Danio rerio: one gene and its partner. The protein of the gene in region 1 interacts with the protein of each later gene in a pairwise test. Links are inferred from orthologs where the notes say so. Each region holds a gene or a part of one and is shown on either strand. Other genes may lie near its edges.

What was found.
Region 2: the proteins of bcl11aa (region 1) and nr2e1 interact in a two-hybrid assay, tested with the Homo sapiens proteins (2 studies listed by BioGRID). The link is inferred for Danio rerio from reciprocal best matches to the Homo sapiens genes BCL11A and NR2E1.

What each region holds. Positions count from the first base shown.
Region 1 is NC_133188.1:29,070,096-29,074,471, reverse strand, and holds the start of bcl11aa (BCL11 transcription factor A a), read right to left. Parts: upstream 2,964-4,376; 5' UTR 2,859-2,963; coding exon 2,804-2,858; intron 2,414-2,803; exon of another isoform or gene 1,996-2,413; intron 1-1,995. UniProt on the Homo sapiens protein: Transcription factor. Associated with the BAF SWI/SNF chromatin remodeling complex. Binds to the 5'-TGACCA-3' sequence motif in regulatory regions of target genes, including a distal promoter of the HBG1 hemoglobin subunit gamma-1 gene.
Region 2 is NC_133195.1:35,307,101-35,311,446, forward strand, and holds the start of nr2e1 (nuclear receptor subfamily 2 group E member 1), read right to left. Parts: upstream 2,876-4,346; 5' UTR 2,459-2,875; coding exon 2,401-2,458; intron 1-2,400. UniProt on the Homo sapiens protein: Orphan receptor that binds DNA as a monomer to hormone response elements (HRE) containing an extended core motif half-site sequence 5'-AAGGTCA-3' in which the 5' flanking nucleotides participate in determining receptor specificity.

The DNA of each region.
Region 1 (4,376 bases):
CCAAAACAGTCACAGCAGCATCAATACATGCTTCACACTTGGAGTAAAAGTACTGATACCTTTTTCCATTCTCAATAAAGTTAGCTATACAGTCCACACACAGACACACACACACACACACAGGTATTTATAACGGCTGTTTAGCGAAATCTTTCGCGCGGAGGTTACACTAGCTTGCTAATGGTTAAGAATCTTGACCTTCTTTATAAGCTGCCAATTTCATGCTTTAATGAACCTAAAACCACTGAGAATCAAAAAATAGATTTTAATTTTAGTGGGTGATGATTGGTACAGATTTTGATAATAATAAAAAAGGTGTTGGGATCACGAGCAGGGCGGTTAAATTTACCTCAGCCCAGTCTGGGGCAGATACTGAGGGGCAGATGTGAAGTATCTCCCAGACGTGGTTATGAGTAAAATATTCGACACGTTTGCACATGAAATAACAAAGACGAAACGTGATCAATTACCCTTAAATATGAGCGAATGTTTTCCGTTTTTACATTGTATTATTGTGCGTAATTGCTTGCATTTCTAATAGGAGCAATTTAAAGTGAAGTTAAACGTTTTTGTATCTGGTTCCAAGATACACAGATTGATATTGATTCGTATTAAATTCGTAATGATACCAGATGTAGAACGTCCAGTAATGTGTGATTTTGTGATAAAAACAGAGATAATCGACATATTTGCAAAAACTTGAGTCATAATTTAATAACACCCAGCGAGTACATATAGTTGCTTAATAGATATTTCAGCTTCAATAAAATGTAACATTAATACAATAGCTTAATACAACATTTAAAGTTATGCGTTATTCTACAATCGGTAATGGCATTTAAAGATTTCCGTGCATATGCATATTTTTAAATATTATTATATATACTTCACAGACTACGATTGACCTTGCATAAATAAACTAGGATTCCATGAATGTGTTTTGAAGGAATATTCAACCATTTTAAAACAAATTAAGCCAACTCAAAATTTGTGGAAAGTGTGGAAAACTGTATTAAACTGAGTTTTCACAATAGTTTTAAATTACATTACCTGCATATGCATTTCAAATTAAATCAGTTCTTAAACTAAAAAATATTTAAAGACTTAAAAACAATTAATTTGTCTAAAATTCAAAAGCATCTTATTACAAAAAAAAGATTTAGTATTAGCTTCTCTGTGTATGAAATTCAAAGGGGTTTTGAATAAATTCATTAAAAAAGTTTGTAGGCTCGCTTGTTGTTTCTTTGCTTTAAAAATAACCGTCTTCTGTGTAATTATAAATTGGATGGCAAAGTTTATCAAGATCGATACTGGCTCTGTTTGCATTACCTGAAAGTCATGTTAGTTTTCTAGATCCATTACAAAATATACAAGACATTTTTTTAAAAATCCTATAATTCATGCCAGTTCAGGACGGGGTAAAAAAAAAACTGTTACAAGTTCATATACAATACGTTTCGCTCTTGCAAACATATGGTCAAATATAGATAGTGCTGAAACTGATCGGGTTCGAGTCTAGTTTATGATCGTCGTGTGCCCCCTAGCGGTGGATTTCGGACACGTGCAGCAGCGAAAGCGCAGAGTAACCCGCGCTGAGATCCACAGCCTGTGTGTGGAAACCCAATAATGTTACACGATACTTTACAATGTTACAACAACTCAGGATTTGTGTCAAACACGTTTATCTATTAAAACGCGGACTAATGCTTTTGAAGATTTACGTTTCAGACATCAAAACTAAAACATCAAAAAGATAGAAGCTAAATGGTTGTGTCGTCGAGCTCCTGACAACATTTCAGGTTCATATAATCTGAAGCATACTTTATTTAGAAAAATGCAACTTATCACAGTCCTTCAAAGCACGTTTAGTGTGTCAACTAACATGATCTCTGGAAGAACAGTAGGTTAGTGTGTTACGAATATATGCATAAAAAGCCTGGTTTTCTCGATACATTTGTATCCAAATAGTTGCATTATATTTAGGTTTCGTCTTACCTTTGTCAACGACATTTAAGACGAAAATCAGGCCTAAATAGAAATCGTATTTCTCTCCTTGCAAATGTACTCGAAACGGCAAAGAGCGTAACGTAAAATACTCTTCTACTGCTTTTCAGCGAAAGCCCACAAATACTGCACAACCGCGTTTTGCTTCAAACGTTAGAAAAGCGTTAATGTGTAAAACTCGAAACGATATTAGGCTATATGCAGATGTCTTACTCTGCGCTGTTAGTCTCAGGCAGAAGACTATCGTGCTCTATTTGCTGGCAGTGGGTAGTAAGCGCACGCGGCGCTTGTAAACAGTCGGACACGAGATTTTTCCCAATCAAAATTCGCTTCCACTCTTTGAAAATCTTCCAAAAATAGTGCGAGAGGGGGGAAATCCTGCCCAGAATCACAGACAGACAGCGTTGCGGGACACTCCACGAGATGTGAGAGTAAATAAGCAAGCGAAAGCACGCGTGCATATACCCACCACGGTCCGGTATATGTGAGCGTTTGCTCTTAAGTGGTCAAAGCGACTGGGGCACGAGAGCCAAGACATATGCGCCTAAACACAGAGTCGACACGAACTTCTCCAAGTACAGCGATGGAAGACAAACTTTTTGGCGATTCGGTGCGCGTAAAGGCATTCAAGAGATGGGAACGCTCTCTTCGCTAAAGTCCACTTGATCGGCGCTGCGCTGTCCAATGTCCAGTGTGTCTTCCCTGAGAATTACGCTCCTCTCCAGCAACTCAACGCTACACAACGCAGCCAAAAAACAGGTAAAGGCAACGGGCACAACATATATTTGTCTTTACTTACGCGAAAAATCCCGTTTGCTTAAGTGCTGGGGTTTGCCTTGCTTGCGGCGAGACATGGTGGTTGGTGGTGGCTTTCAGCTCGGTTCACATCGGGAGAGCCGGGTTAGAAAGGAGACTCCAGAGAAAATATCTTCATCAATGCCTTTGACATCCAAAATAAATTAGAAATAATACAAAGATGGCGCAGGGAAGATGGATTGTGGGATAGCCGTCATGGCTTTTTTGAAAAGAGAGAGAGAGAGATGAAAAAATGGCAAAAGCCCCCCTGAGCTGCAAGTTCAAGTGCGGACGTGACGTCCCTGCGAACTTGAACGTCAGGAGATGGATGGACACAGACATACAGAACATGGGCAGGGCAAAGCCGTGGAGTAGGAGGAGGGAGTGGAAATAACAAAACCAATGGACACTCATTAGGGGCTGGACATGAAAAATAGACCCGAAGAAGCCAATGGACAGAAAGATCAGGGGGCCGGACAAGAGGCGAGAAAGAGGGAGCGAGAGACAAGCACACACACAAGGAGAGAGAGAGGGGGAGATATGTTTAATGAAAGCAATGTGCGCTGCGGAGTGTGTGTGTGTGTGTGTGTGCGTCCGCGCGCGCTCGCGCTCTGGGGGTGGACGCAGGAAAACAGAGCACGAAAAGCCAATGGACAGGAGATTCAAGGGGGCCGGACGTGCTATATATACAAAGACAGTGAGAGAGGAGCCTCGCATTTAAGGTTTCGTAGTGGACACTGATGGTGTTTCAAACACACTGACTCAACTCCTGGTCAAACAGTCAAAGGTAGCGCGCAAGGTAGCTGCTTTTCAGCGAGACACGATCGGGTTGCATGAACAGGACAGACAGGTTCCGAGCCGGGGCATGTGCAGGGTTCAACCGCCGCGTGCGCTGCCACATTCCTCCAGCTCAGAGAAACTTAAGGCACATCACATAAAGCGGGATGGGATACTTGCTCGTGCGCTCTGCGCGCGATGTAGGTGGGACTTAAATACTACAAGAGTGTAATTGTAAAAATATAACAACACACTGACGAATAGATTGTGGGAGCAGCCCACTAGAAAGAAAGGGGACGGGGTAATAACTTTCAGATGTGTTCAGATTATAGAGAATGGCGACTGGGGGGAGGAGGGGGTGTCAGTAAACCGCCGCGTGGATTTAGAAATATAAAGATGCTGTAAACAGCGCTGATGCATTCGAAATTAAAGAGACATGAAGCGTATAACCGAACGCGATGACAAGCTAGTTCAATGCATGAGGTGGGAGGAAGAGAGAGACACCCCTGCGAACTAGTAGAAGTACAACTAGACTATAGCGACTACTCCAGAGAAAGCAGAGGCTGCGTGAACAAGTGACAGTCTGCGGGGAAAAGGCACAATTCAATAGGGAACCGATCGGAGTTGAAGCCGAATGCTGGAGATAATACGTGACCCGCGAGCGAGTGAGTGAAACTGCTTTGCAGGCTTATACGCTGACATCTTTGTTTCTGGACCAAGACTGATCGCTGTGTTGGTGCGCGTGTGTTTTTTTCCGACGCGAGGTGTCAGATCTTAACGCGAAAGTTGAGTCAGGTTTG
Region 2 (4,346 bases), on another chromosome or scaffold:
AATGAGGGCGCATCGGTGGGAAGCGTCATATCGCAGGTCCCATAAAACAATGTTCAGTAGACTCGCACAATGGCGACATTAGGGAGAGTGTTAACTTAATGATTTCCCCATTGAGCCTCGTCTGACTGGCCTGGTCTCGACAAGCTGCCAACCCCGCTTCATAATGAAGCTCGACAACTGCTTTCTTCGTGCCGTCTATAGGCTCGCGGATTAGGGAGTGACACGGGAGAGGAGAATAATACGCACCAGCGCGTTTCAGCGACTCAGATGAAGTGTATGCAAATGAACTTGGAGTAAATGAAAATTGTGATTTTTCTTGTGTGTGCAGAACACTTTTTTTTCTGTATTTAAGTCTGTCAATAGAGGCATATTTGCATGTATATGGGGGAGTCGTTTAGAGAAACGGCTATGTAATTACACTGACATATGTCCACCTGCTCATTGATTTTCCAGTGACCCGTCAAAAAGTGTAGCATGGGAATTCGGATATAGACCGGTAAAGACGGAGAAGGAAAACGACTTCATGCTCTCTGACTTTTTACACCAAAAGAAAGAAAAAAGCTGCATTTTAATGCGTTAAACACATTTATTTTCTGTGCGTGCCAGATGTTCTACAGAAATGATAATGACTTTTTTTGTGAATTGTGACGTGAAAGTGACTTTGTGTGTCTACCTTCCTATTTTAACATTTTAGAAAGTGCGAAGTTCGAGTCAAAGTCTTGATATAAATGCAGGTTTATGAAATATTTCTTTACCAACGGTGGGCGCTTGAATAAAAAAAAACTGCAGAAAACTTGTTGCATTTGTCGCTTTGAAACTCGAAAATAGCTACATTAGTACACGCTTTTGTCAACGCTTTTTTAGAAAAATGCATAATTAAAAGTTCATTTACAATTTTAGTTTTGAAACATTTTTATCCTGGTCTGTGAATTTCAGTATTTTATGTGTATAAATTATAATTAAACCCATCAAACCAGATAGCTCTTATTTCGATGAAGGCCTACTGTTTTCCATCCAGAACAGATGCAATCATCGCATAATTCGACAGCACACAATGGTAAGGATTGGTAAGAAACTCATAATGAATTGAAGGCGGATTTGTTTTAGGGAAGGTCTTTAACTTTCCCCTGTGGGGGTCCCGGTCTGATGCATTGTTCGTTGTAATTGTTTAAGGACATATGGCATATTTCATTACTGTAATCAGCATCAACCCTGGGACGTGCTGCACTAGATTAGGTGCAGTTGTGAGAAACCCTAAATTTAATGGGCCTTCGACCACCCAAACAGTATAAGTGCCGTAATGTTACCCCTATAATGTAAAAAATAATTGCTAAAGAGAATCATTTAAAAAGTGAGAGGCATCTAAAACTTATTTGAAACAGTTTAAGGCTAAAAGCATTCTGAATAAGGAAAGAAAAGTTTAGGCCTCAACAAAATTACTAATTTGCCGAGCTAGATTTAATAATTGTTTTCGATATAATCATATCATCAGTTACTTACAAATCATTGCTAATACTATTGTGCAATAGAAACAATTGTATATGGGTTCCCTTATTTTATTGAACTCCACTTAAACAATTCTCTTGCATTATTTAAAAGTCAAATCTCTCATACATACAAACTTTTAATTATTTTTTTTCTATAGTCTTAAAGGTCAAAGAGGTATAAAATTTTATTATCACAAGCATGCAGACTTTCTCGAATTAGAATAAATATTTAGTTTTTTTTTTCTTCAAGAAATGTTTATTGTCAGATTGTTTTTAGAATTGCAATCCTAAAAATAAAATGTCAAGAAAACATTTATTTTAGATTAATTATAGGCCACTTGCATTTTTTTTAAATAACACGAGTCAAAAGAGATACTAGGAGACACTCAATAAGGAAAATATCTGCTTTGACACACTATGCATAGTTTGCGCATAATTATGAAATAAAGACTGTTGGAATACATTTAGTAGTTACCTACATTTTTAGAGTTTCGAAAATACCTCAGTACTTATTTGCAAAATGTAATAGTGAAACAACGTAAGCTGTCAAAACATTCTAAGCAGCATAACACTAAACTCAAACTTATTTAAGCCTTTCCAACCTTATTCGTTTATTGATTTTCTTAGACTTTACGTGTATTCAATATTGATATACACAATGTTTAGCCTTAATTGAGATAATCTTGATTGTAAATATAGATCTTTCGTATAGAGGCAGACAACAGTGACAGCACGTAAACATTTCGATATGCATTTGACAACTCTTTGAAGTTGATATTATTTTTGTCACATTGATCATACGCAATTATTTCACTTTTAATTATTTCGTAAACAAAACGAAATAGCATTTTGACTCGACATCACGCCATTTCTAACTTCACAATAGTCCTGAAAGCAAATGCAGTTTACTTACTGGATTTGACATTTAAAATATCCAGACAACCACTTGTTGAACCAGCAGGCTTGCTCATATTGAAGACCACGGCTCCGAGAAATTGCGTTTCAAAAGTTCAACTTTTCAGGCCCAGGGCAGTCTTAGCACTTTTGACTTAGATTGAAAAAAGAAACATACATTTAACATCCGATTTGCGGTGCACAACTGGTCCTTTGATTTCTCTTGCAGTTTCTGAATGTGTCCAAAATGTTCCTCTTGTTTTTCAGCAAATAAAATCCGAATTACGTCTCACTGTTGATGGATGATGGATGCAGCTTCACAGATGATATGCCAAAGCTGGTCTCTGATCTCTCTGCCCCACGTAAAAGTTGGTGCAACTAACTGTGAAACCAAGCCAACAACTGTACCGCTCAACACCTGCTTCAAATGTACAACGTGAGCTGGGAAATGCGTCGCAGCCCAAGCCTTGGTGAGTGACTTTGTGATGTGTACCGTCAGATTAAAGGTTTGGTAATATGTATGAGATGTATTAGAGTAGGAGGGCGGGAGAGAAGGGAGGGTGGGAGGAGAGCCCAACTTCCTTTGACCACTTAGCTTTTCCCTGCCTTCTGCTTCAACTCCTGCTCGCGCGTGACGTCACGAGGACGAATGAAGTGATATTGCATACACAGTGAGTCAGGCACTGTCAGAGGCTAATAGTGCGCTCGCTCTATAGGAATTGATTAGGATCAGCAAGGCTGTTTAAATGACCGAATCAATCGTTTGCCACTGATTAGGAACACATTTCTATTCTCAGAGAGTTCACTGACCTAACTACCGACACAGGCTGGAGTAAATTGTTTAGGCATTCGGTTAGAAAGATGATCACTTTTTATTTTGTTCTGTCTTGCTGCGCACTTACTTTCTCTCGCGCTTTCCCGGATCCTTCCATCGCGCGCGTGCACCTGTTGCTCCGTCCTCTCTCGAGCCCAGATATCACACTGTTCCACAGCGCTCTCAGCTTGCCTGCTTTTATGCGCACGGCGTCAAAATTAGAGGATTTTTTAAGAGTGTATTTTTTATTCTGAATCAACATGTGGTGATGTTGCTGTTATGCTAAATGGAAAACATTATAGCTATAAATGAGCATTTTAACATAATGTCCTAAATTGCGTCTTTTTTTTCTGCCCCAATAACAGCCTAACCCAAATGTACACACATCTGTTTGTGTATTTTTATTTATTTTTTTATAGCCTATTTGTTAAGTGTTGGGTATTACAAACCTTACTTTGTATATTCTAAGTAAGTTATAAGTTGCCAAGTATTTTACATCATTACTCGTGAAGTGAACAATCCTCTAAACAAACAGTCAACGTCTCTGCTCATGAGTCTTGCGCGGAGAATAATATTGAGAGGGAAATTAATAGGATTATTAATGATGTTAATCGGATGCATTTTAACTGACTTATTTATACAGAACAAGTATGTATAAATAACGCCTCAGACTTAGAAAACATCGGTATTAAATGAAGTATGCGCGCGCTCTGTTTCCGAGGGGACACATGCGTGCGAGTTTCCCTCGTGTAGAGAATCACAACTGTACCCGTTTGCGAGCGTGCGCAATGACATCTTGACCTTAACAGCGTGCCATGTTGTGGCCGCCGCCAGCAGACACCCATATTTTAGGTTTAATTATGAACATTCCCACGGTAGCTCGGGGCCATATGGGAGCCCTAAATCTCGGTCTAAACGTGGCGAACGGGGGCGTATCTAATCGCAATTAGTGATTGTCATGTCCTCCTTTAAACGGTGTTCTCAGTGCACTGAAAAGAAATTAGGATTTTTGACAGGTGAATGACTGCACATTCAAATGTGCGTTTTCAGGACCTGGTGTGCCAGACTAAGAAAAACAGTGTCACAGTAGGCTCATACTGCATGTGTGCATCACCCGCAAACTTTAGGCCATGACTTATTAAATCAAGGCA